2 linked regions of the Alligator mississippiensis genome follow. The protein of the gene in region 2 interacts with the protein of the main gene of each other region in a biochemical or structural test. Links are inferred from orthologs where the notes say so. Each region holds a gene or a part of one and is shown on either strand. Other genes may lie near its edges. The genes, in order: CACNB4 and CACNA1A.

Region 1 (16,269 bases), on a different chromosome or scaffold from region 2:
TGCACAATAGGACCGGACAAAAAGACTACAAGAATATCATACCTGTTTGAATCTGCAGGCAGAATTTATGTCCGACCCCAAGAAAAACCATGGCCAATATAGCTAGGCTAATACCCTATTCTTACAAAAAGAACTACAGGATCCTTAATGACTAGAGCTTTGAACTCAATATAGCACTACTTACATGCACGAAATAACTCATATGAACTAAGACATTCCAGGCATTTGCTAAGTCTTGATAGAGCAAACCACTTAAGCAGATACTTAAAATTAAGGGCAAGTGTAGTCCACATACTGTACTGAAATTTTAGCACTTCCTTAACTACACAGCAGAACTGAAATGAGATGCACATGTTAATGATGTTCAGTCCTTGCAGGTTATTTTTCCCCTCAGTAAAAGCTCTGAATCACAAGGTAGACTAATTTTTGGAGGGAACGACCTGTTCACTTAATTCTATAAACATTATTCATACTTCCCTAATGATTTTCAGCATATGGGTATTTGCTTCCATCTGTACCTCATTTAATCTATTTCTGTCATTATAACATTTATCATATGTTAAGAAGTAATTATGGGCATAAATTGTCATAATTCCAGGTTCATGATATTGTAAGCAGTGTTTCTGCCATTATTGATGCACATCTAAGACTAAAAGTATTTTACTGACATTTCTCAGTGATAAAAATCTGCAGGGCAGGGAAGGAAAGTTAAACAACCCATTTCAAGTTTACTCAAAACATTATTTGCTGCTACGTTTTTTTTTCATTCAAGAGAAATGCAAACTAAAACAAATAAATGTAACAGAAGAGTGGTTCATCTTGAGAGGCACAAATAGTTGTCAGGTGCGTGTGTGTGGCCCCCCTCCCCCCGTTTTTACACATGCATGTTAGAATGAGAATAATAAAAAAAAACCATAGTTCCACTGGTATGTTCTGGTAACCAATTGCTAATCTTAAAATACTACAGTATTAACATTTAGATTGGATTGTTTTAAACTCTTTTAGGACACTGTACTACAAAGTCTAGTGATACAAGTGAAAAAAAATATATTTTCAAAATTACATGTAATCTGAATAATACTGAACAACCTGTTATAAACACTGAAAATTGGACATTTTCTTGCCTGTGTCCCAACTAACCTAATCTTTATTGGAAGAGGAAAAAAGGTGTGGAGAAAAGTTCACAGTGACTGAGATCACCAAGGTGATATGCCTACAGGTGCTAAATACAGTTAAAGTCCCCCCCACCGTCCATCCCTTCTGTTATAAAAGAAATTGAAAACCAAAGACTAAACATGGAGGCTGAGAATATTCAAAGCCAGTTCCATTAAAGCACAAAAGAAACAACCAAAATGTCTTTCTGCAAAGGAAACACTATCTCGAGAACGGCATTGCTGTATGGGAAGGAACATATTATAGTAACATTCACAGGAAAAAGTAATGTGATGCTTTCCTAAACACCTGTCTAACTTCAAATCATCCACATACTCTTTTTCAGTGATGGGTGGGAGGCACTCCATGAGATATTGTTGTTGCTGAACTCATGCAGTTCAGATGAAAGCTTCTTGTTGTCTTTATGAACTATTGAATTTTCCACCATCTAAAGGACTCTCAAGTAAACTTGCACAATTTTTGTTTTGTTTTGGTTTTTTTTTTGGTTTTTTTTTTTTTATCTTTAGGGTCTGTAATATCCTGTTAGTAGGCAACATCACTTTTTTTCTCAGTCTGTTCTTCCATTTGACAAATCCAGATTCTTGCATTGATTTATTTTGCTGCACTTTGAACAGAGTTAAAGTTATACTTATGTAACAGCTTCAACCTATGTAGCACCTCATTGTGCCAAGACATATTGGACACTGGTGCAGGAACAGCAACTGTGTCAGCACAGTTCTGGGAATAGTGTGCATTACTTTATCTGCTACCACAGCTTTCACTACTGCACAGCTGGCAGCAAAAGCACAAATCATTGTCTAGGGGACCAGGAAGAATAGCTGCATTTCTGGGGAGAGGAAAAGCTAATGGCAACTAACTCATATATATGTAAAGAGAAATGAACAGCCTGAGCTTGATTTTCCAAACAGCATACTATATAAAAATCTGCAGTGATCATATGATTGGCCGGTAAGGAAGGCATTAATGGGCTATTTAAACCTGAATATTTCCTATTGCAAGGCCACAGAGATGTATGCAACTGTGGCAATTAAGCATGTAAATTAGGAGCACTATTCCTACATTTTATGTCCTTGTGACAACATATTGAGCAAAATTCACAGATTTCATTGGAATTTGACAGGCTGCACCATGAGCACTTATGTATGGCCTTGAACTTGCAACTTCTAAGCTGTCAACTGTGCACACTGGTGCCCACGCCACCCCAGCCCTCAGGAGCACTATCATACATGCAATCTAAAACTAAGCACATGTAAAGTTTTGTGGAAAACAAAATAGATGCAAAACAAATTATGCTCCTTCTCCATGCAGGACCAAAATTTAGTACCCCCTGCACACAAACTTCTCAGTGAAATCACTTAGTCTTGGGTGTGCAAGAGATACAAACTATTATCAATTACAAGGAAAATCACAATGCCAAGCCTTAAATATTTGACAGTGGCCCTTTAATAACACAGGTATACATTTTTGGTAGGACACTAGAGCAGGAGTCAGCATTGTTTTCAGGCAGCAAGCCAGGATGACCCAGTGCAGATCAAACATGCTGGTACTAGGACCTGGCTCCCACCACCTCTGTCAGCACAGCACAGGCAAAGCCCCCACACTCCACTGGCCCAATCCAAGAGCTCCACAGGCTGGATCTAGCCCCCAGACCATAACCATGAGCAGAGAGAGTTTCTCTAACTGGCCTCCACGAGATCACAGACTAATAGCTATTTAGATGAACTGTAGTACAGCAAGCACCGAACATGAGAAAATGAATACATTGCAAAGCACGGGGAACATTTCAGCACATTTGGAACACAAATAAGATGTCAGATGCAATAAAACTCAAATATGACAACAAGGTAGTTAGGGCCCGACTAAAAACATTTACTCATGCAAATAGACCTACCAGTTTCCACTGGGCCCTTGTGTAAGCAGTACACGTGAGCAAGGTTTTGCAAGATCAGCCACAGAAGATTTAATCCTGCAAGTTGAGGACTTTTGAGAAACTGTGTGCCCTGAATTCCCCTCTAGAAGTCTAACAGTAAGGAAGAATGTTCTGCACCTTCCAGGGTCAGACCTCAGATCCCTTGCAGTGCAACAAAGTGACAACAAGTAAAATGCAGTCTTACTCCTACAGACAGTGCTTTGACACTTCATTGGAAATCCATCACTTTAAAGGACATATCAGAGAGTCTACAAAATTATTTCTGACAGCTACAGGAAGTGCCCACAGCCCTTCTGCAAGACTTGCAGAACTAGCACAGTCCATGAACACAGACCAAAACTAGATTCAGATCTATTAATGTTTTATTGCAAGTCAAATCTATTTGGCTTCAGGTTACATTAAGCTTCATATTCTTTTTACTCCTTTGTGCTCCCTTGACTTCTCCTCATGTCCAGCAAAATGAGAACTGCCAATGTGAAACTGCCAGGAGCCTGCACATGCAGTTATAGTGAAAATAAAATAGCACAAAGCCATTGTAAATGATGACTCGCTTTGGGCATTTATTTCCCCTTTGTCCATTACACCAATATAATTCACTCCCTCAACAACCTTTACAACAGGACAGTTACGTGAAGATGCCCAAATTATTCAGAGGCCCAGTCCTGCTTTCCTTATCGTCCCCAAAATCCCACTAGCAGCATGGAGAGCTTCTGCTGTGCAAAAAGGGCAGGCACAGACCCCCAGTCAAGTGAACTCTTTAGGCATAAACAAAGAATGAACAACCCCTCAAAATATTTACATTTCATAGTTTATATTTAAAACAATGACTTATACAAACATCACATAAGAAATTATGCCAGAGCTTCAGTCAGAGTACAGATGATCTCTGTTTTATCCAGGGAAAGCTAGTAGCCAAAAACATAACTTGGGAATTAGAAGGGGAAGGGTAGCTGTTACAAGGTTGACTTTACCTAAACCACTGGTGCCAAAGGCAGGAGGAGAAGGAAAGGTGTTTTAGGCTCCCCTATACTAAATGCATGGCAATCATTTGGTTCCTTCTGGTTTGTGTTAAAAACTCAGCTCCTGGAATCAAGTGATTACCTGAAAGTTGAAAGTCTCAGGATTCATTTTTTTTTAAACAAATGTGTTTCTAGTCCTCCTAGTTACAGAGAACTACTTGAATAATGTGTCCCAAATATAACCTAATAGCTCAAGACCCAGAAGACCACATTACATCTTTATATACATCAGGTTTTCAAACCGGTCTCAAAACGTTATGAGCACTTCAGGCTGACAATACGCCACAAGTTTTGAGCCTAATCCACAAGTCGGCCCCACCCTGAGGCTCTGAGTGCTCAGCTCCAATTTCTGGTTGAGGTGCACACACAGCGAGGTGTTAGCTCCTACCAACGAAACGCTTAGGCCCTAAACCTACAATGGGACCCGAGGGTGCCCTAAACGCACAGGCAGAAAGGTTCAAAATACAGTGCAAGAATCTGAGAGCATGAAAAATATTAATAAAAAAAAAGAAAACCAACAGACTCCAGTACATAAATCCAGCACTGTTTTCCAAGTTTGTTTTGAGGCCAAAAAACCCCCTAAAAAGCCCTGCACCAGCAACTGAAAATTAAGTTGCAAGAAAATCCGGACAAAAATGTCTACCACTGCTTTAAAAAATGTCCCCAGTGACAGATGAAGCCGAGCGTATAATGCAATGGCTTGTAGCCTCCATAAAAGGACTTTTTATTTTTTCCTGAAGAGAACAATAAAAGACCAAAAGCCTCTTGATGCCCATTTCTAAACCCTTGGGTTTGGGACCCAGTCAGACGTGCCGCTGTTTGGCAGAGCGGGTGCGGGGCGAGAGAGGCGTTTTGCACGGGGCTCCGCGGACACGCGCGACGCGGCCCCCCAGCCCCAGCCGAGGCGAGCCGCGCAGGAAGCCCGGCGGGGTCTCGCACGCGGCCCCGACGTGCCCGGGCCCGGCGACACCCGCGAGTGCCCGGCCGGGGTCGGCGCGGCGCGAGCCCCTCGGGCCCCGGCGGTGCAGCGGGCGGGCCACACACGTGCGCCGCCTCCCGCCGCCGCGCTGCACCGCGCCCGCCCGGCCCGGCCCGGCCCGGCCCTACCTGGCGGAGGATGAAGCTGGTGGACGTGGTGCTGCCGTCGGAGCGCTTGAGCCGGCTGCGCCGGGTGGCCGTGCCTCGCGTCACCTGCGCCCGCCATGCGGGGACGGGGGAGAGAGGGGAAGAGGTCGAGTCACAAGGGCCGCGCGCGGGCAGCTCGCGCCCGAGGGGACGGGGACGGGGATGGGGACGGGAGCCCTCGCCCCCCGCGGCCCCGCGCAGCACCCACCGCAGCCATCGGAGCGAGGAGCAGCGGAGCCCGCGATGCAGCCGGCGGCTCGGTCCCTGCAGCGCGGAGTCTGCACAGCTGGGCGCTGCCTCCGCCCGCCCGCCTGCCCGCCTGCCTGCCACGGGGGCCGGGGCCGGCTCAGGCACCTGCAGGGCGGGTCGGGGCGTCTCGGGGGAGCGGAGCGGGAAGTTTCCCCGCCGGCCCCGGGCGCAGCCAGGAGAGGGCAGGGGCCGTGGGCGGCTGGAGGCGGTGCCCGCCCCGCCCGCCTGCCCGCAGGTGCCGGGGCGGCCGCGGGAGTTGTGGAGAGGCCCCGGGGCTGTGGTGGGGGTGGGCGGCACGAGGCGGAGGAGCAGGAGTCCGAGCCGCCCGGGGTGGGCAGGGCCCCCACGCAGCGCAGCTGGCCGGGGGTGGGGCGCAGGGAGGGGAAAGAAAAAAAATCAAGGTTTTTTTTGAAAGCTCGGTGTTCAAAGCCTGGCTGCAGGTTCTGTATTAGCTCGCGCTTGGCTCCGAGGGCGGGTCAGGCCGATGCCCGCGGGAAGGACGGTGATGTAGACTACGGGCAAGCGCGCCTTGGTGAAGCAGAAGGGGCCCGGGGCAGCGCAAAATGGGGCATCACGTTTGAGGAGCCGGGATAACGTTTTCCCCAGCAAGAGTTAAGGCTGCTGCGTGATAACCTCTCTCTGAGTCATGAAGGGCACTGTGATGTTTAAAGCACTTTTTTTTTTTTTTTTTTTAATCTAGGCCATTGGACCCTTTCTGCAATTCCCTTGTGTTGCAGAATAGCGCAGGAAGGAGACTAGCCAAGCCACTGTTTCCAGGAGGCTGTGTTCAGAGAGAAGTTTTGGCATACAAGTTTTCTATGTGAAAAGGGGGCTACGGGAGGAAAACAGTTGTGTGCAAATCATGCCGAGACGGTGAGGTGCAAGACACCTGGATCTGGGCTAGTCCTGAGGCTGTCACAAACAGAAGTGGCTGTGTGGTGTTTGTTACCTCTCTGCCCTGGGGAAAGAAACAGCGTCTGACCAGCATCCTCATTCTTGCTCCAGACAAGTTGACCAGCAAGGGCCCCAGAATTGCTGCAACTGGCAAAAAAAAAGCATCAATATATTCAACAATAGCACTAATGAAGCCCAGCTGGATCCTGCACACATTAGATGATATTGCACCTCTCTGACCTGCCTGTACATAGGTAAGGTTGTGTGTGTACTCTGGGCTGTGAAGGGCCCACATCTAACAAAAAGCGAGGATCTGGGTGGTTCAGATGAAAGCTAGTGCACAGTAGTAGCAGACATCTTTGTGAAGACACTGGGCTCCTGAAGCTACTCAGAAGCTCAAATCATTCTGTAAACACTTTTGTGGCATTAATGACCACTACATAAAAATTCTGTCATTTTTTTTTCAGTTGCTCAGAGTCCCCAAACATTTTGCTGTCTCAGGCCAGTTTGCCTGCCCCTCCATAGAACTGCAATGACCTTGTGGCTTTGAAGGTCAGTTTTGCAAGGCAGTAAAAGCAATATGCTATATTGTGTAATTTGAGTTTATGGGGAACATGCAGTTTGGTATAGAGAACCAAAATGGAACATCTTGTTTAAAGGCATGCTGGTAATTGACTACATAGCACAGCTACATTTAAGAGGCTTGCTTGCTGTGAGACTGGGTAGTAAACTCAAAATTAGTAGGACAAATGACTGCCTCTGGTTTTTGGAGGCAGGAGTACGAGCAGCTGGAGAAGTTAGTAAGAGTGAGTAGCAGATGATGTGACCACAAATAAATTGGACACAAAGGAAATATTCATATTGAACCTACATAGGCAGCAACATTAAAAAAACATAATTTTCTGTAATTACATATAGGATGCAAGGCAGATTAATAGGACAATACGCTAGGGCTACTATTGGCGATTGAATTTCTGATGACATTACTAAATCATTCTATCTTCTGGTTCAAGTTAATCCCTGGATGCTTTAATGGAATGAATCGTATTTCAAATAGCCTCAGTATGCTCGACCATGTTAACACTCAAATTCCAATCACTGGAACTTAATCCACCGTGAATTCCTAACTGTCAACAACTCTGTAAATCAGTATTAGGGTAACTCCTTCCCATTCATCATTCTCTATTGAACACTGACTTTTAGTCTTATTTACATGCCCTAACCAATCAAGTGTCTGCATGCAAACTCCCAGAGCCACCTCTAGTTTAAGATTTTCTTTTTAATTTGGCACTGGGGGAGGGGGTCAGTCCTTTTCACTTTATACAGAGCAGTTTTGTCTTTGCCTGTAATGGTTGTGTCTGTGAAGCATAAACTTGAATAAGATGCATGTCACCTGGATGTAAAGAAAGAACAGAGATTAACTGAGATACTAAGATTCTAACAATGGTGCTCAATCTTCTGGCTCCAAGGACCAAATGAATGGCTTAGGGCTGGTGCCAGTGTCCTGGATATGGCCACAAAGCAATACCCACACATGGGACTATGTCATCTGGTCCCTGGTGGCGTGGGAGTAGTGTTAATTGCAATGGTTCTGGAAGCCACAGCAATTAACACTGCCAGCCTCCTCCTGTTGCCACATTTCTAGACTCATAGGGCCCCCTGGAGCCCTTAATGACACGGCCCCTGTGGGCCAGATTTGGTCGAGAGGTTGAGCACCACTGCTCTAACAAACTTCATCATCAGGCTGAAGTATTAAGGCCTATAGCCAAGAGTATAGCATGAATAGTGTATGCAATGGAAAGACAGATGGGGGAAAAAAAACTAATATGAATGCATCTCCAAGCTACAAAGTAGATGATAGATTTACTTGTAACTAATTACAAATTAAAAGCGAATATAAACAAATAGTTGATGCTTTATCCTTATATAATACTAGCCAATTGCCCATCAAGAATGATGGGGGCAGAGGGGAGGAAGCTGGGATGGAGTGCTGCCACCTAATGCCCCATGCTGCTGCTGTTCTGCCTCTTGCAGGGAGCCAATCGGCTCCCCCACCCTGTCCAGTCCTTGGCACAGCTTCCGAATCATGGCAGCACTCTCCCCTATGCCTGGAGCACTCTGATTAGCTGTTTCTGTCAGCCAGTCAGAGTGCTAATAAAGTGTTACAGACAGACAGACTTAGGCTTTTATAATATTAGAATGATTGATCAGCTTGCACTGTGCACTTTGAGAATACGTTTCAGATGGTTTATCCAATTTAAGAATGTCAAACTAAACGTAGGTAGATACGTTTCATTTGCACCTAATTTTGACATACCACCATTTATTTACGTAACTGATAGAAATTTGCTCTCTTCTAAAACATTTTTTTTTTAAATCATGAATCTGAAAGCATTTTGTTCTTGCATGAATATCTGGATCTTAACTACACTACACTCTGATTTCAGGCTTGGATAGGTTAAGGTATGAATGCAGAGCCTCCAGACTGTCACCAGTCCATTAGCCCACTGTAACCCACTGAATCTCAAACCGATTTGAAACAAAAATCTAACTAATTAAAACATGCTCAGTTGTAATATTACGTAGCACTTCCAATGCATCTACTGAAGAACATTACCTTAAAACATCTAAGATACGGCAATATGATTTCAAATTTTCAGAGGAATAAAATCAAAATGGAGATTGAGCAGTTTGTTCAAAGTTACATAGGAATTCCAGGGAAGGCTTGAAAATAGGACCTGGGTTCCCTGCTTCCCACTCATGTGCTTAAGAACATTAACACCTCCTACAGAAGTGAAAAAAGAAAACATATATGCAAGCTTATTTGCTTCTAGACCAATTATTTACACATATAGTAATGCTGCTGAAAAGCATGGGTTTCTCCAGCTAAGCCATTATTGGCTGTATAGTCTTATCAGAACTGACAGGGAGAAAGGAGAGAAAAACAAGTGTTGTACATCTGGAAGCAGAACTCGTGGTAGAGGTAATATCTTTTATTAGACCAACTATATTTGCAAAAAAAAAAAAAAAAAAAAGAAAGAAAGAAAGACAAAAAAGTTCATTTGCAAGCTTTCCAGCACTTTCACCCTTCCTCAGGCACAGGAAAATGCAAAGATTGTAAAATTTCTCCTAGGTGGAAATGAAAATTCATATTTCACAAGACAGCTGAAGGTATTGTAAGATCCCCTGGCTGAAATAGTTCACTTTGTGCAAATTAAGCTCAGATAAGTTAGAATAGTCTGTTTACTTCCATGCAGATCTGGAAATATATTTCTGTTAAATGTGACAGTTTCAATTATATTTACAGGTTTAACTCGTAATCCTGCCACCTTTCATCCAGTCAATGGGCAATATGAATTTTTAACAAAGATTAGTCACTGGAAGACTATTTCTCATACCTGATTGAAGAAAACTGGCAAATGGATCAGTGTTTAAACGAAGTCAAACAGAAACCAAGACAACATTCCACAGTCTTTTCACCTTGGAGAGTACCTTTTTAGTCAGTAGGGATTATCTTTATGTTTTATATGACTAAGGCACAGATTATTTTCACGTATATGACTAGGATGCAGATTGTTTTCATCCCTAGTTTTGTTAACTTTATATTTTGAATAATATCCAGAAGTGCAGCAGGCTGAGGGGGGAGGGACTCTCTTGTAATGTTTCCCAATTTTTGCCAAAAAAAACTTATACCCTACAGATATCTGGTAAAAAAAAGTATCATCAGATCAGTTTTATCCATTAAGCTCACAAGTAGTAGATAATGGAATTCCTTGAATGAAATTAGGCAGCCTAACTCCTAGATCAAAGAAACATGAGCAAGAACTGAATAGCATTAATCCCAAAGTCTAAAAATTAAGTGTTTAAAATGTTTTGAATTAATCTAAATACAAAAGGATTCTTAAATTAAATCTTAATATGATTCTGGCTGGCTGACTTCCCACCCATGTCTATTCATAAGCATAACAGGGCAGCTCTGCACCCTGGGCAGCGATTGTTTTTGCACCCTCCCCCTCCTCCTCCTCAAAGGTAGCACCTGAAGCCACTGCCCCAGTTGCATCCTCTCAGTAATGCAACTGATGTGTTGTTCAGGAAATGAAGATAGTAAGGAGTTGTTCAAATTTTATTAGTTTATAACCAATTAGCTCATTTGTTTAGAGCACAGCCCTAACACCACCAAGGTTGTAGGTTCAATCCCTGAATAAAGCAAGGCAACCTTTCCTGCCTCAGGCAGGGGGGTGGACTAGATGACCTTGTCCCTTCCAGCCCTACTTCTTCTCTATGATTCACTTCCACTGTTTTTAGTCATCTCACCGAGAATACATGGTTTGAAAGGTTGATTTTCTCTGAAATGAAAAATCTTTGAAAACTGTTCTTTTGCTATTAGGTTTGGAAAATGCTGGCTTTTACAAGACTTAACTATGGGTCTAAAACTAGTTACACACCATTCCATAAAAGTTAAAGTGACTCAACATAAATAATGCAAAACAATGACACAGTTTAAGAATGAATCACAGGAACTGATTTCAGGTGTTTTGGACCTATGACTTCACTTTTTAAAATGTATGACAATGGCTTTTCCCCTTCTGGTCTCAGCTAACAATCTCCTTTTGGTTAGATGGTTACCAGAAGTGCTCTAAATCAATGTTCCATTAGTTACAGTAAGATACTCGGGTCTTTTCAGGTTGTACATTTTAAAAATTAAGTGTGGTATAGTTATATATAGCGGACTATCAATATATGAAAAATTAACATCCTTTGTAAATAAGACTGTTGATTATTCTCCTCATCCTAACATGGATTTAACATCCATTTTGTAGAGAGAGCTCTCTCTATCCATAGGTATACATTTTTGTCAATGTATAGCTATGCTATATATGCTTACAAAAACCAATAGAGTGAATCAAAGAGGCACAAGTTACATAGTTCTGGTAAGTAATTTTAAAACAGAAAACTCTCTACTAGCACAGATTAAAACAAGTTCCTTTTATTCACACAAGGCAGTGCAAACATATGGTTACTCCAATGGAAGAAATCCCCTATTTTTAGTACTGCAAATTCAAAAAAACATCATTATCCATTAACTGCAGTCACCCTCTCCTCCAGTATATTTTACCTTTGATAAACATATCTACCCTTCAATTTAAAGTGAGACAAAATAGAAGCAGTGAGAGCTTAATTTGGAATGTGAGATCAGAGAACACATTCAGACATGCCATGCCACGGGAGCAGATCATTAGCTGGGAAAGATGTCATAATTCCATTGAAGTGAATGAGACTATGGCAGTTTATACCAACTGAGACTGTGCCTATATCTTTTCTTCCCTTCCTATATTCATCTTCTAAAAATATGTTAATGTAGTGTTGTTTCATGTACAATTAATCTAGTAAGTGTAGAAATAAGAGACTCAGTTTTACTCACTAGATATACAGAAACCAATCCTGCTTGTGTTTCATTACTGAGCTGTACTTTTTAGTATAGATGCATAGCTATAAGACAAGAAGAATGCTCTTATAGGAGAACACAGTTCCAACAAAGGATGGAGCTGAAATCATATCCACCACTTTTTGCTGAAAAGACAACTTTTCACTGAATCACAATAGTCCAGAGGATACTATGAATATGAAAATATAATCCTAATGAAATAAACAAAAACATGTTTTTTAAAATTTTAACAATTACATTACTGATTTTATTTTTCAATGTCCATAGTTTAAAAACAGACAAGATGTTTGTCAATGCAGGCTCTTGGAAACAGTCATTCATAAAGCATGTCCGTGCATAACAGTCAATCGAAAGTGACATTTCTTATTCCAGGGTTTTTTCTTAGGTTTCCAAAACTCATACTAGAAGAAAGCTTATCCTGTATTAATATCTTCAACATCAATAAAACAAATAGTACAATAAAATTCTCATTATAAAGTTGAATAGTTTTTCTATTTTAAACATTAAGGATTTATTTGAAAAAGCAGACGTTCTCTATTATTTACCCCGGTATAAAACAGTAGGTATAAACCTAATGTAGAAATCCGAAGTTAGATAGATCCTTTGGCAGTATATTTAGTTACAATCAGGCCTTAAAAATAAATATGATAATGTTTTGAAGTACGAAGAGAAAAAGTGATCCCATTAACACCAAACCCTCTAAATACACCATTTTAATGACAAAAATCAAAATATTTTACACTATCTACAAATTGCATAAATGCATCAAAGAATTAGGCTTACAAGAAATGACGGGATGCCAAATCCTGCAATATAAAATTTCAGGTTTATTTATAGAGTGAATGTATATGTCATAATGTGCATAAATCCTCAGACAAATGAGTATATACACTATTTATATTAAGAACTAAATTTGAATCAAACATTAATCCAGTAACTGGTCAATGCTTGTCATCCCAATTTAAGATACTGGACAATATTTATGATGGATCAGAGCCTATAAATCAAACAAAAACTTACCTGTATATTTTACTAACAAATGTGATTGATTCTACATAAATGTTAGTAGGGTTAAATTTGATTCAATATATTTTTTACTAGAACAAGTCCTTGCATAAAGAATTTCCAAATGGTTAGAAATCCTTAAAAAATAAAAATCAGCATTTCAAATGAATTTGTGATATTTTTTTTAAAAAGGAATCAAGGAATGTGTTATCAAAACACGGATATGATGCCAACTAAAGTAGTTTTTATTAAACAGCTTCAAGTGAAAATTAAATGCCAAAAAATTTGCAAAAGTTATGCACACTTGGAATTTGTACCATTCAAAGAACAATTACCAAACACTTTGTTCTAATATGAAGCCACAATTGAACAAAATCATACTACTGAATCAATTTAGTAACAGTACAAGAAATGGAGGTGGCACTGAATTGAGCGTACATTTTATTTTGGGAGAACACTAGTAGGATCTACAGTGTAATAGTTTTCATTTGATAGAAAAATTATACACCATAACATTCATATGCAGAAATGCTTTCAACAATTCCATGCATTTAATCGGATGGTTTTATCCAAGTGCTTTCGTCCATTATTTTCCTCAGTCTAAAGATAAGCCATTCATAAAGTTAAAATATTTATAAATATGATTACATTACTGAGCTGATTAAGTAGGTGGGAAGAGAGCGATGTTCAGATTTCCAAAGTAAAAACAATAAAAGGAAAGAAGTCCTGTATTCGTGAAAAAATATCCAACTCTTCTAGTTCTTCTACCCTTTACAAAAGCTACCCATTAAAAAGTGCAGGAAAATGTCTTCAGATTTTTTATCTACTGAATGCTACAGTTCCACAAGTACAAAGCAGTTCCTTTTCATTTCAACATGTACCCTATTCTTTATGCATAAAGAAAATATAATTCCACCACCCAGAACACATCCCCTGTTTTTACACAGCGGTCTAAACTAATGTTTTCAAGTGGTGTAAGAGCTTTTCCATTACTAGATTGATATTTATTCCAGACAAGTGACTGACAGCTGGGGTTAGGAGGGGAATCAAAGGTAGCAAGAGTTCCCTGGTCTGTAAAGATAATTCTGCTCCTGGGGGTCTTCTCCACCTTACCATTATTTGAGAGGAAAACAAAGCAGACCTTCATAGTCCCTCAATACAAGCATTTTGGTGCCTATTCCTTACCCATTCCTAAACCACCACAAAGGAGAGAGATCACAGTTTCCTGGCTAGGTAACTTGCAACCACAGAGTGCTTCAGTTTGCAGCTGCCCCTGCCTGCCCTTCTGAAACATCTGATGCTTAAAGTATAAACTCCTATAGAGAAGTAGTGAAACAGCTCCCTAACAAAACAACACCTGGTGGAGGAAAGAGGAGACCTCCAGAGCTCCAAATCCAGTCTGGCTATAATATAGAAGAAAATCTTAACACTTTTCATTTTTGTATTTACGTGGTCCTCATTGCCATGTCTTCAAAACAATTACCTCTTCGAGTTCACATTTGCTTTACCATGCAATTGTTCTGGGTATGTAATACAATCCACACAGTAGAGCTGACAATGGTGCAAACAAGACTACAACGCGTCTAAATAAAAAAACACCACCTAAATGAAGGTTTCCCTAAGTCAATGAGATGGAAAAAATGCAAAAGGGTAACAGACAAAGCAACAAAGAACTAGATTTTAAAACAACCTCAATTTTTCAGAAACATACTGAAAAAAAGAATCAATTCTCTTTTGGACAATCTATTACTTAATTTTAGATTTGAAAGTGACGCTTCAAGAGATTGAAGGGAGTGTTTTAGTTGATTGATACTCACTTTGGGTTTGAAATAATAAACTTTAGTTAGTTAATCTAGCTCAAATCATGTCTAGGGCGATTCTGAACAAAAAAGTCAAACAAAGTATGTTTTACTTTGCATAATAAACACAAGTTGGGTTGTTGAAAATACACTTTGAGATCAATGACAGGCAGTCATAAATCATTAGGTTCAGCAACATTTAGAAACTCTTTCAGAAATATAAGCCTAGTTTGTTTTCAAAGGAGAGGCTGTTGATGGTAATTTGTTTGTGGCGGCAGAACTGAAGGAGCGGAAACTGCAATAGGGTAGCCTGTTCCTTGAGGCAAACTAGACGTAGTGTTCTGGTAAGCTGACATATCCACCGACATTCCCATCTGCTGGGTGTAAGCAGCTTGACTGGTAGCTGACTGAAGGCCAGAGTTCTGGTTCATATATGTGGGGTTCGACACAGAATCTGGTCCAGCACTACAAGAGGGAAAAAAAGAAGAGGAAAAAAAATCTCATCGGAACAAGCTACACTGAAAATGTAACTAATATATAAATTTGCTCATAATGATCACGTTGGTGCACAATGGATGTGCATGTTTCCAAAGTAATAAAAAGCAGTATTTTCATATTCATTCCAATCTTCTTCTTCCCCACTCCTTGCCTCACCAGACACAAAGTCGTAACTATATACTGGGGAAAATTAATCTTTAGATTCAAGTATATTGCTAAAGCATTACCTTATATATGCAGTCTGAGCAGGCTGAGTTGCTCCGGAAGTGTTTAAACTCTGAGGCAGAGACCTTAGTTGGCCCATCTGATCGGGTCCTAGACTGTAACCTTGGGGAAGAGTGACTTGGTGAACACCCTGAATCATGTAGTTCCCACCAGGTGGCTGTAGTGGATAGGGCTATAAATAAAATAGAATACATACCATTTCTGAATTGATTAATAATAAACACACAATATAAATATGTCAAGTAAATGCTCAGACTTCCTCCATATAGCTCTACACGCTACAAGTATGACAGTAAAGCCTGCAACATTTTCAATTTAAAATTAAATAAGTGAGAAACTAAAAGGTGTGGCTTTTCTTCCTATTAAGGAAGTACAGGATTTAAACAGAAAAATCATCACTACTCATATCAGTGATTTTGTTGGAGAAAGATCAAGCTGACGTTCCCTTGGAGACAGTACAGCTACAATATGGTAGACTGCTCCTTCAGGTGTTATGCATATAACCTATATCAGGGGTATCAAACTCACTTTGTGCCCTGGACCACAGGGCTTCTTGTGGACTGGATCTAGCCTGAGGCAGAAGGAAGCAGTGGCAGTTTCTGAAGCAGCAGGGTTATCTCTGACCTAGAGCACGCAGCAGAGGTTCCAGGGATGCCCTGTGCTAGTGTTGGGGCCAGAACCAGAATTGCCGCACGCTCTGTGCCTCTGTTGTGGCTCCAGCTCCAGCACGGGGCACGCAGCGGGTCTGGCAGCCAGGAAGGTAGGGTTGCAGCAGTGCAGACGTGCGAAGTGGCTGGAGGACTACCGGAACTGCATCAGCTTTCACTCCCCCTCCTGCTGCTGATCACCATGCTTATTGGGGCCCAAGGGCCCCAGATTCTGCAGCAGGCTACTATCCCCAGCCAT
Region 2 (16,037 bases):
ATGCACACACACAGACATGCACATACACATAAATATGTGCACACACAAATGTGTGTACATAAACACAAATGTGCATGTGCACACAAATACACGCACATGTACACACATGTGTACATGTACACACAAATGCACACGTGCGTGCATACACATACCTGCATGCACACATGTACATGCAGGCACACATGCTGCACATGCACATATATGAATGCACACACCTGCACGTGCACATGTGCATGCACACATGAACATGCATGTGCACACACATATACACATAGATACATACATGTGCATGCACACACACCCCATTGTCACAGCTATGGGTGGATCTAGGATTTTAAAAAGGGGGCTGCTGTTGGGGTGTTGCCGCATCCCATAGAATACAACACTTGTTTTTTTTTTCCAGTTAAGAAGAAACTAAAAGATTTACTAGTATGATTGGGGGCAGCACTAGAAGGTTTAGTTTAAGATTAAAGCAGAACGAAATATAACTTCGTTGAAGCGTGCACTCATTTGCTCGATTTATATATTAAGTTAAAAAAATGCAGCAAATGAGCCAAAAACAATCAAAAGACCCTGTTTACTTGAGTCCTGTAATTAATTGTTTTTCTCTTAGTCAGAGACATAAAACAAAGTCAGGTGTGGGATCAGGAAGGAATTTCCCCCCCACAAATTGGTAGGGGGGGCGGGGGTTGCTTTCCTTGAATGGCCTCTACCTGGGATCTCTCAAGTGTCTATTAAGAACCTTTTACAGCAGCAGGATGTTGGCCACTGCGGCTCCCCTGATTTACCTATGTCAGATTCAGATGATGGTAGTCACGAATGATGATGGATCATTGTGATAATGATGCTGATCCATTCTTGATGGATTTGTCTGGGATGTTTTGGGCAGGGTTGACCTTGCCTCAGGCAGGGGTTGGACCGGATGTGACCTCTGGAGGTCCCTTCCAGCCCCACTTCTTTAGGGTTGCCATGGAAATCCAGCCTTTTTGAGCATGTTCACAGGGCATCTAGCATGCAACTGCCTGTCCTTTCCAAACTTGAGTTCATATGACAGTCACAGAAAAGTCAGGCTGGAAGGGACCTCTAGAAGTCATCTAGTCCAATCCCCTGCCTGAGACAAGATCATCCATATTAAATCAGAGCGCCCCAGTTGAGGTTTGTAGCTAGAACTGGTCCCAGCCTGATGCTTCTTGCACAAAACGCACGTGCTGTTGTCACATTAGGATTCCTAGCCACACACTTCACATATGGTATTGCCCATAGCACGTGCACATGCTCCCCCCTTGCATGTGCGTTATCATATGCTCCCCATGCCTACTGTTATCCGCAAAGACCGCAATCAATGTCCCAGACATCTATTTACAAGCTGTCTTTTTTCTCTCTCTCTCTCTTGCAGACACAGCCACCCCAGAGGGTTCCTTCTTGTGTGTCATTCTGTTTTCCTAACACTCCTACGCTGTCCCCGTGTGAACCAACAATTAAAGGAAACTGCTGTGCACACACGCACACACGCAGCTCTGTTGTCTTATGGAGCAGAGATGTTACTCACGCGTTCAAGCATGCAGTGGGGGGTTAGGGATTTCCAGAGACTCCCCTGGTGCCTGGGACTCTCCATGTCTTCCTTGTTGGCAGTGTGATGTGGTTGTGTGAAGCTGAAGGCTTCCTGAGCTGTGCTGCAGTACGTAAGACCTGCCATTTTCCGAGTCAGACCCTAGGTCCATCATGCCCAGTCTCTTGTGTCACACCAGGGCAGAGAGGAGGTGATGAAAGGGAAAGTGAACTGGGTCTGACCAGGGTTTTTCCCCCTGTTCCTCTCCCACTTGCAGTCTCCAGCATTTAAGGTCTGGGGAGTTCTAATTCAGAGACATTGCCCCTTGCTGCCATGCTCAATAGCTACTGATGCCCCTTTCCTCCAAGAACATGTCCAGTCTTCTGTGAATCTGGCTAAACTCTCAGTTTCCACTACATCTGGTGGCAGCAGGTCCTACCTTTTAATGCCACACTGGGTGAAAAAGAACTGTCTTGTGTTCATTTTAAATTATCTGCTAGTTTCACATTGTGACCCTATGTGTGGGGATGTGGCTCAGTGTTGACTTTCTCTGCTACTCTCAGCCCAGCTATGTCAAGAGGCAGAAGCCACCCTCTGACTAGAGATGGACCAGATGTGCTGGAAGCTAGGGGGTTTGATGCTTTCCAATCCCTTTGGAGCTCCTCCTGTTTCCCCTGTCACTCGCCCCACCTCTCCCCAACTCCCCACATCTTTGATTTCCCCTCAATCTCTTCGGCTTTTCTATCATTTAATCCTTCTACTAATTACGCCCTTCCCCCCCACATATACACACACACTGATTCACCTCCATCCCCTATGGTCTGCTCCTGCTTATTGCTGCCTACATGTCCCTCACCTTATAACTCTGGTGGCCCCCACCTTTTCCCTGTTGCCCCATAGCATCAGCAGAGTGGGGAGACCAGGGCACTGACTTTGTTTGTGGGGGAGGGTGGAAAATATCAGCTGCCGTCTAAGATGCACAGATGTGCCAGCAACGCAGCTGCCCCAGGGGCCTGGCTGCTTCATTATGCCTCTGCTGTTGCTCTCCACCTGTAGCTGCAACTCTTTGCACCTGTCCCTCTTGGGGCTCTTGATTTCTTCCATCACCCTGGGGAGTTCTGTTAATAACACAGTGAGCCCTGCTTCCTCTGCCTAGACCCAGCACCTGGCTGTTGGGTTTCCAAGCCTCCTTGTCAAAGAAAGCTGGATTTTTGCATCCATTGAGCTTGAAGGAAATTTGCCTCCAGGGAGAGGTGCAGTTCCCAGCCTGGCTGGTTGATTTGCTCAAATCATCTCCCTAACTCAATCCAAGCATCTCTGCCTCTTATTTAGGAAACCTTAGAAGACCCAGAGTGGGTGGGAAGGAAGCGGTGATGGCAGAGGCAGCAAGAAGGAGCCAGGAGGCCAGCACTCACTGGTGCAAGCAGAGGGGAATGGGGATGTCCTTGGCAGGACTGGGGGAGCAGGTCAGTTAACATAAGAACTGCCATTTATTGGGTCATCTCCATCTTCTCCAGTCTCCTGCGTCTCAGTGGCAGAGAACAGGTGTTGAAAGGGAGAGTAAATTGGGCATGACCAGGGTTTTTTCCCTTGGTCCTCTCCCACTTGCAGCCTCCAGCATTTAATGTCTAGGAAGTTCTGATTCAGAGGCCATGCCCCTCACTCCCATGCTCAATAGCTAGCAGTGACCTTTTCCTGCAAGAATGTGCCTAATCCCCTTCTGGGTCTGACAAAACTCTCATCTTCTACCACATCTGGTGGCAATGAGTTCCACCCTTTAATGACATGCTGGGTGAAAAAGAACTGCCTTGTGTTCATTTTAAACCAATGACTTACTAGCTTCACACCCTACTAGTTGTGACCCTTCGTTCCTATCTGGTGAGAGTCGATAATAAATTCCTATGGACTTTCTCTTCACCATTTAGTGTTTTGTAAACCTTTCTCATGTCGCCTCTCAACCCTCTCTTTTCTAAATGCAACGGGCCTGGTCTTAGTGTCTCCTCATATGGAAGCCCCTCCATATCAAGGGGGACCAGCAGCCTGGACACCTGAGGTATCTATACATGTGCTCCAGAGTGGGGGTGCTTTAATTAGAGCAGCTCTAATTAAAGCACTCTAAGTGTCACATGTATTCAGTGTCATGCACTTCAAAATGGCGGCAAGGTCACTTTAACTACAGCTCATTTGATGAACTTTAAAGTGCCCCTGCTGCCGTTTTGAAGCGCAGGGATGTTGAATAGATGTGACAAGCTGCTGGAGCATACTAATTATCATGCTTCAGCAGACTTGATTAATTGAGTCTGCTGCGATGCGTGCTAATTGGCACACATTGGAGCAGACGTCTGGCACGTATATAGGTGCCCCTGGGTTTGAGATCCTTGTCTGTCATTGGCTTCCTGTTCAGCATGGCACAGCAAATGCCTGCAGAGTCAGCCATTCCAGCAGGGATCTGTCACTTGTTTTCTGCCACTGATTAAGCCTTGAACACATGGATCTTTTATCCTGTCCCCTCCCCACTTTCCTTTCTGTGCCTTCCTTGTCATTACAGGGGTAGCTGCAGGGGGAATGCATGTCGTACAGCCTCCACTGGTGTTCCTTCCCCACAGGAAAGCAAGTTAAGCTGCAGCATCTCAGCAGTTGGCTTTCAGTTAATTAGAGAAAGTGGACTGAGATCACTGCAAGCACTTGGCCAGCTATCCAGCTAAGCCACTGGGTCTGCCTAAAGTGGATACACGTGGTCACCCCACCCCCTCACCCCAGGAAAGGATATATCCACCCCTCTTGTCCCTGCTGTGTGAAAGGAGAGGGTGGTTTATCTCATCTCTGCCCTCTGGAGCCTTGCAAATGAATCTGAAGTAGAAAGATGTGGAGATGGCTCTAGAGTAGCCTAATACACAGATTCACAGAAATTTAGGGCTGAAAGGGACCTTGTGAGATCATCGGGTCCAGCCCCCCTGCTCTGGGCAGGGAAGATTGCATGCCCAGAGCAAATAACTCCGGGAAGGTGCGTGTCCAAAACAGCGCTAGGGAACAGGGGTGATTGGGCCATATAATTGGCTCTGATGCTGGGGACATCATTTGAGACAGAGGAGTTGGTTTGATACCTGAAGCAAGAGACTGTGGGTCCTGAGGTTTAGCCCCTGCTCTGTCACAAACCCATCTGGGACCTATGGAGTGTCTGCAGCTCCCGTTTATCCCCCTCTCAAAAACAGTCATGACAAATTCTTGATGGGCTGGGAGCCCTGCAAGGGTGATGTTGCCATGTGGCACCACTGCTGGGCTGAGAGCTTAGAGCCTCCTGACGCTCTCGATAGAGCCCAGTGATTTCCGGTGCCAGTCACAGAAAGTTTCACTTGCTTGAGCTAGAGAGCCAGGCGCTGTGCAGCAGACTCATTCTCCATTCACGCAGCTCCCTTCATGCTACCAAAAACAGGGCTAATGCCCCCACTTCTTTGGGGAGTTTCTGTCTCCATCAGGGATTTACCTTCACAGCTGAATTCCAGCTTCATTTTGTGTGGGGAAGGAGATTGGCTGCTTCTTCCTTTTGCTGGAAAAAGGCTGGATACAGATAGAAGGTGGCAGAGAAAAGAGCCAAGATGATGAGGTCCCCTTCCTCTCCTCTGCTAGCGTCATGCCAGGGCATGATTCACTCCTGACTCAGAGGCACCCCATTTCATCAGCAATGCTGTTTCCACCTCCTTATTTTTCCTCCCTCCCTCCCTGTCCAGCCAGTCTGTGCTACAGCCTTGAATGCAGAAGTGATTCAGACAGAGCAAAGAGATTCTTACCTGGGCATCCTCAGCATCTTGGAGCTAGAAGTGTTTTGGCAGTGACCCCGCAGATCAGCCACTCAGAGGAGGAGAAGGATGGCTGTGTGAACCATGCCATGTGTAAGGAACTCAGACACCCACCCCAAGGACTGTGATACAGGAGCAGACTGAGAGGAGGAGTCGGGGTGGGGGGAGTCACTAGCAGAGACAGCAAATAGGTTTGCTAGTAAATTAGGTAGCTTGGGGCAGATCCAGATGGGTGCAGTGGTAGTGGCACCCTCCTTTGATTCTTGTTCCACTTACGTTTTAAAACTATCTACCTGGGAGGGTAGGTCTTACAGTCTAAAAGGCTGTCTCTACCTCATGAAACTGATGGCAGTGACACAGCTGGTCCCCAATTTGTCTGTCTTCCAGAAAAACCCCTGGTGAGGACCCTAACTCCTGTAGGGAACCTTGTAGTTCAGTGCCAAAGTTTGTAGCTGTCAGATCTGGAGTGGTAGGTCTCATACAAGCTGACGAGATCAGTAGGGCCAGGGCTGGTCAGCTGGTGGGTGGGAATCTGGTCAGGAACAAATGAGAGCTGAAGGGATGATTATTAACCCAGGGCAAGGCTTTTCCTGCTGAGATAGTGGTGCACTAAACTGGGAAGGTGTATCCCTGTCTAGAGTGAGCTGGAAAGCTAGCACCAGGCACCATGTTGCTGGAAGCGCTGTCTTTTTAAATGAGACCTAAAAGAGACACCCTGAACTCCTGTGGTCACAAAACTCCCCTGGCACTTTGTGCCTGTCCAAAAAAATAATCCACTATATGCTCCTAATTCCACGTGACAAGGTCCTGCCTGTAGGTGAGGCTGCAGTCTGCAGAGAGGACCCATCTCTGAGTTTCAGAAGCATCCAGAGTCCACAGCTCCCACTGTGTTCAAGGCAGGGGAAATGAGGCCTGTTGTCTGTGCAGCTGCAGCATTTGGGGGGGGATGAGATGCCCTTAAAATCTTGCTGTTTTAGCAGTTGTGCCATTGAATATCTCTAGAGAAGGGCAGTGTATGAGATGTGACAACTCAGAGGATGTGCAAAGAGCATACCAGGGCAGTTGGCAGAGACGTGTTGGTGTCCTAAGTGCCCATGGAGGTCTGGACAGGAGCCACTTGAGAACATATTCTTGAACTGCCCAATTGCAAGGAACAGGTGGAATGTTATTGCTGAAGCCTAAAGCCAGGAGGTGGCTGGTGGACAAGGGGATTGTCTGGAGCTTTATTAAGAAGGGGTAGTAACACCCTTGATTTTGTACTGTTACATCCTGGATGATTCTGGGGACTTTGATTTGGTTTGGAGCAGTACAAGAGAAGCCAAAGGCAGCTCCAGCAAACTAGACTCCAGTTTATTAGGATATTAGCAATCAGGCAACATGACCAAGAGCAGCTACATACAGCAGAGTATACACAGACATACTCGCTGCTGGGTGGCCACGTCTCAGGGCCCTCTGAATCTGCCTCATGATTGAGGCAAGTTCCAGACTCCCACCCTTCTGCCATTGTGTGGAGGAGTTGTATACAGTTCAGGTTCAAATGGCTGTATTGCCATTCATGTCTCTGAGAGAATGATCTCTGGGCCAGTAGAGCAGGGTATGGGGAAACCAAGTCATGACTTGTGATCATTGTTCTTTGCAGGGGTTGTCTTATGAACATAGGGTGTGATCCCTGGCCTGTGCATCTCGGCTCCCTTGAAACTGTCCCTCATCTTCTTCCTTTTCTCACATGCTAAGCATTGTGATTCAGACTGAACTGGTTCTGGGAGCAGAGGGCCTATGAAGGAGAATGTAGCAATACACCTAGCACAGCCAAGAGGGGTGAAGGGTGTCGAGGACTCCCCAATAGTCCATCTGATCCTAAAGGTGCCTCTGCCGGGACATCACCTCCTACTGGGTAAGTCAGGGTAAGTGTTGCTCAGAGGGAAAAAGCAAGGCTAGTCTTGGGCTTGGGGCCCTGCCCTCTAATGGGGAGATCTTTTAGCAATGGGAGACCTACAGCCCACCTCCATTTTATTCCAGGGCTACAAGCCTTGTGCACTTCTTCCAGGTAATCACAGAGTTGTAGAGCATTCAGGCCAGTAGGGCTGTCTGTAAATCACATCTCATCCAACCCTCTGCTCAAGGCAGGGTCACCCCCATCAAACCACACCAGACAAGTCCTTGTCTAACCTATTCCTAACTATACAGTCGCCCCATTGATGAAGACCATCTTGCATTCAAAAGCTTGTTGAACTATTTCAATGACAGTTTGATAAGAGTCACCCTAAGAAATGCGGGCCTCTCGCATAACTTCTGGACCATCGTGGCTACAACATCACTCTTACCCTAGCACACCTACGATGGCATGCTGCCCAAAGACACGCAAAGCCCCTGAACATGCCCAAGGTAAAGCAGGGGGAACAGGGGTTGTTAAAAAGCCTAGTAGCCTGCCAGCCAAGTTCAATTTGTTTTGAATATCTCCTCCTGAATTCCCTGTAATCTGTTGGCATGCCTCCAGTGACCTCCCTGTAGTCCAGTGATTCTAACTGGGTGCACTGAGATCCTCACAAGGTTGCAACAAGGGACCTCACAGTGTTAGGATTGTAGGAAAGTAGGACTGAAAGAGACCTAATGAGATCTTCTAGTCCAGTCCCCTGCTTAGGACGCGGCAGGATCATCCCTGACTGAAGGTCTACAAATGTTATTCACAAAGGAAGCCCAGAGATGCTGCCCTGCTGTGGGCTTTCTGAGTTGTTTGGCACAGAAGTTTGCCCTGGTATTTTTTCTAGAGTCAGAAAAAAAAGAGGTGACAGCTAAGAGCTGGCATTTTCCAAGTGGTGCTTGTGACTATACCCGAGTCTGTTGAGGGGACCCTTCATTCCAGATGGGTTGAGAGCCCCTCAAAGGAGGCTCATAGCTCTCCTGGTGGGTCTGGCTTCATGTCCCCCAAATAGGTCTGTCTAAATCCTGAGCTGGCCTGGCCTGACCCCACTTAGCTTGAGAGAACTGCCAGAATCTCAGCTGGGGGCAGAAGTACTGCAGGCTACAATTACAGAGCCAGTTCCCAGCACTTTGGAAACTGCACATAGGAGAGGAAAGCAATGGGCTGCTGTTGCTTCCATGTCATTTGGTATTGTTTACCCAGCCTTTGGCCAGGGCCCCACTGGCAGACAGCTCCCTTTGTTATCAGGCTAGAAGATGGGGCCATGTGCCCACTTGGCTCAAATCAAGTCCTGAGTCTGTTTAATGACCTGGTCCCAGCAGACACAGTGAAGATGGCAGGGAAGAAAGGGAGGGGTTTGATCTCGCTGTGTATATGTGCAGCTAACCATGTATGTAGATACTTGTGTTTGCCTGGTGAACCCTGCCTTAAGGTTAATCCAGCTGTGTGTGTTCAGCTAGGTAAGTGTGTAGATGTGTGCATTTGCCTGGTGACTTCCCTCCCCCAGGGAACTCACGTTCTGCCCCCCTCCCCTAGTTGTGTGTATAGATGCATCCATTTGCCTGGTGATTCCCCCTGGAATCCCTATTCTGGAGCACACCTCCAAGGCTGCCCAAAATGATTTGAGCGAAGTATGGGCTAGTAGCCAGCAGGGCTAATTGGTTCTGTAACAATCTCAGGTGCACAAGCCTTCACCAACACAGCCTTTGATGGCTAGGGGAGGGCTCTGTCAGGGCAGATGGCTCAGTCAGCTAGGAGATTATCTGCAGCTGTTGCCACAGGAATCACAGGGCCCTGCTTCCTAGCACCTGGAAGCTGGGCGCTGATGCCCTCTGAATCATCCCATCCAGGCTACTGAAGAGGCTGCAGATGGAGGCAGGAAGTCAGTTTTGCTGAGCTGATCATGACTGTCTTAAGGTGCGTGCTGCCTGCTGGGTGAGTCTCTTCCTTGTGCAGTCTGTTCCTAGATCTGTAGAAAGTGCTGGATTGACTGTCTGGAAGGAAACTGTCTAAGCAGCAGCACTTCCCTTTTCTGGGGGTACTGATTGCATCAAGTAAAAAGTACCAGGCTGCTGGTTGCAGTGCAGGAGTCTGGGATTTGCTGTGCCCCAGGCTGGGAATCTCTGTAGTATCTAGGCTCTGTTTTTCTACTAGAGTTGCTCCTGTAATGGAAAGATGAACTATTGTCCTGCCTCACTCTCTGTAACACTTTGAGGGGCAGGAGCTCTAGGGTTGGATGTGTACTGAGAGGTGCAGAGTTTAACTTGTTCCCTGTCCACACCCAGTCAGGGTCATGTTTGTGAGTCTGTCTTGCCTATCTTATCAGTCTCCCTCCCTTCTGTGCACCCCCTGGCTTGTTTCATCCTAGGAGCTGGGTCTAGCCCTCATTCTGTGAGGGGAATGTAGTCTGTGAGAGGGTGCAGACCTCTCAAACCCAGAGGAATAGGTGCCAGGACTCCTGGGTTCTTCTGCTCCTTGCTCTGGCCTTGGCCTGTTAGGTTTACAAAATGCTGGTTGTTAAAGGGAAAGTCCCTACACATTTATGATTTATAATCCCATACTATACAAGAGCAAGGCATTATGACACGAGACTGGGAGGCAGTCAGTTCAAACTGAACAGAAAGCACTCTTTTCACTCAGTGTCATGAATGGGTGGAACTTGCTCCCACTGGATATGGCAGAAGCTGAGAGTTTAGCTGGATTCACCAAGGGACTGGACACAGTCATGGAGGAAGGAGGGATCGGGAGCCATTGAGCCTGGGAATGATAGGCACAGCCTCTCATTTGGAGCTTCATAGACCTTTACTGATAGAGGCTGAAAATGAGAGTGAGCAGGGGGACCCTGCTCTTGCCAAGGCCACTTTCCCTTCCAGTATCTGCTCTGCGTGGCCATGTGACACAGACCTATTTGTTATACCGTTGGGAAAGCATGGGTCTTGGCCCCCCCAAGTGAAAATATAAGCCTTCTTTAAGAAGGAAGCCACTGAGGACTGGTGTGACATGTGAGCCCAGGTAAGGTGGGCCTATGGTCTGACCCAGTACATGGCCGTTCTTATGCTCCTATGGTCTTGTGCAGTGTGACCCTAGATATGATATTCTGTCTGTAGAATAGAGATAATGTACCTACCCTGTGGGGGTCACAGAAGAATGATTGCTCAGGGGTTGGTCGGTTGGGAGGATGCCTATAATGAATATAAAACACCCAGCCATTAGAGCTGATATCCCTGCTTGCCCTGCCTTGGTGGATGACTCAAGGGAGGTCTCCAGGAGGGAATAAATTATTTTCCCCTGCTTCCCATCCCCTCCACTGGCTCTGTGCTTGGAGGAGAGGGGAACTTGGTGTCAGCTAGAAGCTTGGTCCTGCCTTGGCCCTTGCTGTGACTGTAGCCCAGCTCATCTCTCTTGCATTCAATGATGGGGGGCAGTAGGTCTCTCTCAGGGCTGGCAGGGAAATGGTTTCCTCCCCACTCTGATGTTCTCTATGGATTTAAAAAAAACCAACACATCTCCAGTTAGATGCAGCATCCCTGAAACCAAAGAAGTTTCCATCTGCAAATGATGTCTGTTCTTTTCACCATCTAGTCCTGGAAGCAGAAATAATCTGCCCACTGACCTTGGGTAGGTGGGAAGTGGAATGAACAGGGCCCTGAGAAGCCTGATGGAGGTGGGGGGGTGTGGGTGGATGTGGGAGTGGGGACTTGTGGCTTTCGAAGTGTACTGGGAAGCAGGGTGCTTGAAGCAGAGTCCTCTAGACATAAGGCAGTGAGGAACAGGAGAGAAAGGACAGGAGTGAATTGCAAGGGGGATGGGAGGCAGAGCAGAGCATGCTGCTGCAGTTTGTAGGGCTACTTCCATGTCTGGGTGGAGGGGGAGAGAGATGCGGTATAGCCAGGACAGTGTCGTGCCCTTATAAGTGCCACCTTAAAACTAGTGGCTGTGTGTTGCTTTCTGTATCTTTCTCTTTTCCTTCTGTTCCTAAACCTCTTGTGGTTCAACACTTTCTGATTTCTAGTCTGGACTTCTGTCCATGGGAAAATCCACTTGATACCCATTGTCCTTGAACTAGCATCATCCCCCGGCTTAAATAGTTTCCTTGGCTTCTGACTCTCTTGGCTCAGACTTGTTGCGAGAGAGCAATTGATACCCCTGCCCCACTGCTGGGCATGATAAATGGTGGTGATGATGCGGGTGTTAGAGCAGGTTTATGGTTACTCCTAGATAAATCTGTGCGTTCCTGGAGGCAAAGCCAGACAGAGGCACAGCCATGACAGGAGGTGAGTAGAGGGAGGTCTATTTCTGTGAAGGTTTTAGTTGATGAGGAGGGAACCATCCTGCTGTTCATTCACACCTCTGAGGGTTTAACTTCTGTTTGGTTTGGCTGCCAGTCTCCAGTCTCTTTGGCAACCATCAGACAGCTTTCCCTTCTGCAGGGTAGGGAGATCCAGGCTTTGTTACCTCTGCCAACAGCGCAGGTGTTGGAAGAGCCTGGTGACAAAGCCATTGGCCTCCTTCCAGAGAACCACCTCCAGTGTGGACCGCACCCTGACTAGCAATTTGTATGGTCCCATTCTGCACTGCTGGCCGCCATGTGCCAGTAGTTGGGTCAGAGAAGAGAGAGAAATCTGTGATCCTTTGGGTCAATTTGGATGGTGACTCTAACAGGAGGACAAGTGTTGTTGATGCTTAGGTGAAGCAGTGCAATGGCAACACCAGAAGTTGGCTGGGTTCTGCCCCGCTCCTGGATTAACCGCCTCTGATCTGGGTCCTGTTGTCAGCAGCTGTTGCCTCTGCTTCTCTTGGCAGATCCAATTAGATTGGCCTAGGTGGTGCCTTTAATCCTGAAGTCAGTGGGAAGTGGCAAATGTCTAGTCTCCGTGTCTTAAATCATGCTCCCTTTACCCAGAGGTATTTTTTCAAGTTATTTATAGCACATCTCCCACAGGGAAACAGTGAGTGTGGTACCATACTGGGTCAGTGGGGATATAACCTCGGTTTGCCAGTAGAAGGAGTCTTCTAGCATCATCTTGTCAGATAGAGGGCAAAAACATAAGACCCGTTGTTTCTGTGTCAGACCCTAGGTCCATCTTGCCCAGTCTCCTGTATCACACAGTAGCAGAGGGCGGATGCTGACAGGGAGAATGAACTGGGTCTGACCTGGGTTTTTGCCCCTGGTCATCTCCCAGTTGAAGCCTCCAGCATTTTAAGGTCTGGGATGTCTCAGAGGCTGTGCCCCCCCCCCCCCCCTCGATCAATAGCTACCAATGCCTCTTTCCTTCAATAATGTGTCCAGTCCCTTTCTGAATCTGGCTAAATTCTCAGGTTCCACTGCATCTGGTGGCAATGAGTGCCACCCTCTAATGATACGCTGGGTGAAAAAGAACTGCCTTTTCATTGACACCCTATCAGCTTCATTTGATGACCCCATCGCTCTTGTCTGGCGAGAAACAGTCTGTAATAAATGCCGGGTGACTTTCTTTTCACTATTTAGTATTTTGAGAAACACTTCTCACATCCCCATGCCACCCCCCTCGAGCATCTCTTGTCTAAACTGAACAGCCCTGGCCTCTTAATTTTTCCTTGTAAGAAAGCATCTCTGAACATCCTGGTTGCTTCAATTTTTTTTTTCCCCCAAAGCAGCAGTAGCCAGAAGGTGGGTCTTCAAGGGTCAGTGATACCCTGGCACTGCCTGGGAATCCAAACCCTTTCTGCATGGTTTCTATTATATCCAGTTTGGTTCCCTCTTCCTTCTCCTTATCTCTTTTAAAAAAAGACTACAAGAAGTCAGCTCTCTCTGCATAACCAGAAGCAGCCTGAGGGGCTAGGCAGCTGTAGTTGTAATTACCATTTATTTTTCTGTTGGCATAAATAATTTAAACTGGGTTCCTGTCACAAATTGTTTTATTTACTTAATAACCATAGAGCTGATGAGAGGGAAGACAAAGACAGCTCAGCCCGGGGAAACTGGGGAGGCACTGATGCTTTTTGCAGACAATAGACTTGGAGAGGGGGTGGGGGAAGAAAAATCACCTTTGCTCCTATTTACCCTCTTCCCTGCTCTCTTCAGCTAGAGAGGATAGGAGAGAGAATGCCCATCCTTGTAGCGATGGGGGCAGGAAATAAGGTGCTTACCTGGGGGCGACCAGAGAGACGGCCCAGAGAAATGCATCCTGCTCTGGTATGGAGTCTGTTCAGAGATGGGCAGAGTTCGCCAGCCACATGCCGGGAGCTGGGTCCATGCTCCTGTAGTTTAAAGCCATGTTCTGTTCCCACCCCACCCCCTCTCCCCCAACCTTCACTGCCTTCCCCTTCTTGCTAGCATAGAACTGATGACAGGGAAAAAGTAATTGGCTTGATTTCTCCTCCCTCCTTCTTTGCCCTCATCATCAGGGAAATCTTCTCCCCCCCCACCCCCACCCCCACCCTCCCTCCTCTCCTCTCCCAGCAGCTGGGACTCCATCAGCTGGCACTGGTTCCATTGCAGGCTGCCTTTTCAGGGGAAACACCATGCCCTGAGCTTGGCTGGCATCCCCACCCACCTGCCTTCCCTCCCCCCCCTCCCCCCTCCCCCCCAATCCCCATCCTACCCTTCATCCTCAGGCTGCTGAGTGTGTTGGGAGATGGATTATTTTACCTTGGCCAGGCTGGCAGGACTCCAGGAGAAGAGATGGGGTGCTGGACATAGCTGGTTGCAGTAACCCTTCACTGGCTGCCGTCATCGCTCGCTCTTTGAGGATCAGATGAGATAACAGGTAAGCAGCAGGTCCCAGAGAAGCAGTGGGGGGACAGGAGGAGGGATCCCTGGGGACGATCTCTCTCACTCTTGGATTTATGTTCCTTTTCCAGGCTACCAAATACGCTCTTTGGAAAAGCAACTCTAAGCCAGGGTGGGGAGGAGATTAGAAGTCACAGGACTCGGAGCTGGACACCAGGCTTCCCCCGCCAAACTGGCAGTGGCAGGGGGTATTTGTTGTTGGCATTTCACTTCTACCTGGGGCATAATTTCAGACCTGAGGTTCAGGTTCCAAGTACCTCTTGTGAATTTAAGGGGTATTTTTCTTTGTATAATGGGGAGGTGGGGGGGTTGAATCGGATCTATTCAAACCTCCCCAGGCTGTGGAAAAGAAAGCGCAGCAACGTGGTCGAGTTGGTTTTGGCTTCTCTGCTTTAGGAGGGGTTTTAATTAGAGTCTGGCTGTATTTCTCTCCTTTGCACTTTTCAACCCTCCTGCCTCAAACCTGCACTGCACCTGCTGCAATTTTTTTCCCTCTCTGCCCAGAGCTCTGGCTTCTAGCTGTGGTTCGATCCATCTGGGTAGCAGCTGAAGATCTGGTCATGGGACTTCCCTGTCAAAACCCTTGCATGGCCACCAGCTTTGAAGAGCTCTGCTTTTGATCTCCCCTGCACCTTTCTTCTTTGTGTGTGTTTGTTCCAAAGGCAATATGCATTTGGCATTAGTGATGCAAAAGGAGAGGCAGATGGGAGCTGCTGGGGTGCTGGTATGAGCCCTGTAAACTCTTTCTGCTCCTGCATATGTAATATGTGCACCTCTTCCTTTCCCTTCTCTTTCTCCAAAGTTTGCAAGTAATTCAGGTTTCCCCTATTTTCTCCCCTTGCCCAAAAGCTACATTAGCTGCTTTTTCTTTCATGCATAAGCCCCCCAAAAGCTGGAGGGACAGGGAGAGAGATTCTGGAATCTCATGATTATTTTTGTCTCCTCGTCATCATCTGTTCCAAATAACAGATGCTTCTAGCAGGCATGAAGTGTACAATCTCCAACTGCCTCTTTCAGTCTCTTCTGCCTTTTGAGCATTTTTTCTGGCTAGAATGACCACAGTGCTTGAGATCTCCAGAGCACAGCTTGGGGTGATGGAGCTGTCAGCTTGCAAAGGTCGAGAGAGTCAGGCCAGAGCCTCTAGGCTCATGCCTCTCAGCAACTGTTCTGGTCCGTGCTGCTGGGGGATGAGCTGAAATGTGCTCTCTAGTTTTTCTGAAGGTTACAGCCAGACATGTCTTGACCTATGCTAGGATCAGATGTCCCTGGAGATGGAGGGGGTATTCTATGGGAGATCAGGATGATTTTGTGGATGGAGGAGGAGAATGGAAGAAAATTTCTCCTGGAGACCAAAACATGCCTAGAGGAGCGGTGCCCAGAAATGTATTACTACTTAATGGCTTGGATGTGAGATGCATGTGGGATGGGTCTTTTTCCAGCTCTTGGCAAGACAAGGGTCTCTAACCCAACACTACCAACATCTGTGGTTGTCTTGGCCCCAAGACAGCTACTTGGTGGTCCTTATGTGACACAAGCTGATGGCTTCTTGGTGTGGCTGGAGGTTCAATGTGGCTGTCACGAGAGACAGGCTGAGGGCTGACTAGGCCAGGAAACTTGGACCTCCTTTCTCGTCTTGGGAGGGGAGGTGGTGACATGGGTTTCTGTCCCTGGATTGACCCAGTGCTTGTCACTATTACCAAGAGCAGGATGCAGAAAAGGTTTTACGATGGCTCTGGGCTGGGCCAAAGGTTTGTGTCAAGGGGATTTGCGTTCCTGAAAGAGACTTACTGGAAAGCATCCAGTAAGTATTTCCAGCGATGTTGGAGAGGCCTATGTTATCCTCCCCATTGCACTGGGACCTGCCTCTTTCTCCCCACCACTGTAAGTTACTGTGGAAAACATGCCTGAGTCCCTGGCCCAGGCATGATCCAGATTCCCTCTAATCGTGAACTCTTTCTCAGGCTTAGGATTTGGATCGAGGTGAGAGAAGGTTCAAGG

The links.
Region 1: the proteins of CACNA1A (region 2) and CACNB4 form a complex in vitro, tested with the Homo sapiens proteins (2 studies listed by BioGRID). The link is inferred for Alligator mississippiensis from reciprocal best matches to the Homo sapiens genes CACNA1A and CACNB4.

What each region holds. Positions count from the first base shown.
Region 1 is NC_081827.1:226,563,194-226,579,462, reverse strand, and holds the start of CACNB4 (voltage-dependent L-type calcium channel subunit beta-4), read right to left. Parts: upstream 6,205-16,269; 5' UTR 5,465-6,204; coding exon 5,456-5,464; intron 5,354-5,455; exon of another isoform or gene 5,314-5,353; coding exon 5,230-5,313; intron 1-5,229. Other genes in the region: STAM2 (signal transducing adapter molecule 2), read right to left, coding at 14,877-15,105, 15,366-15,535. UniProt on the Homo sapiens protein: The beta subunit of voltage-dependent calcium channels contributes to the function of the calcium channel by increasing peak calcium current, shifting the voltage dependencies of activation and inactivation, modulating G protein inhibition and controlling the alpha-1 subunit membrane targeting.
Region 2 is NC_081831.1:23,048,361-23,064,397, reverse strand, and holds the start of CACNA1A (voltage-dependent P/Q-type calcium channel subunit alpha-1A), read left to right. Parts: upstream 1-8,250; 5' UTR 8,251-9,202; intron 9,203-13,907; 5' UTR 13,908-14,016; intron 14,017-14,110; 5' UTR 14,111-14,227; intron 14,228-16,037.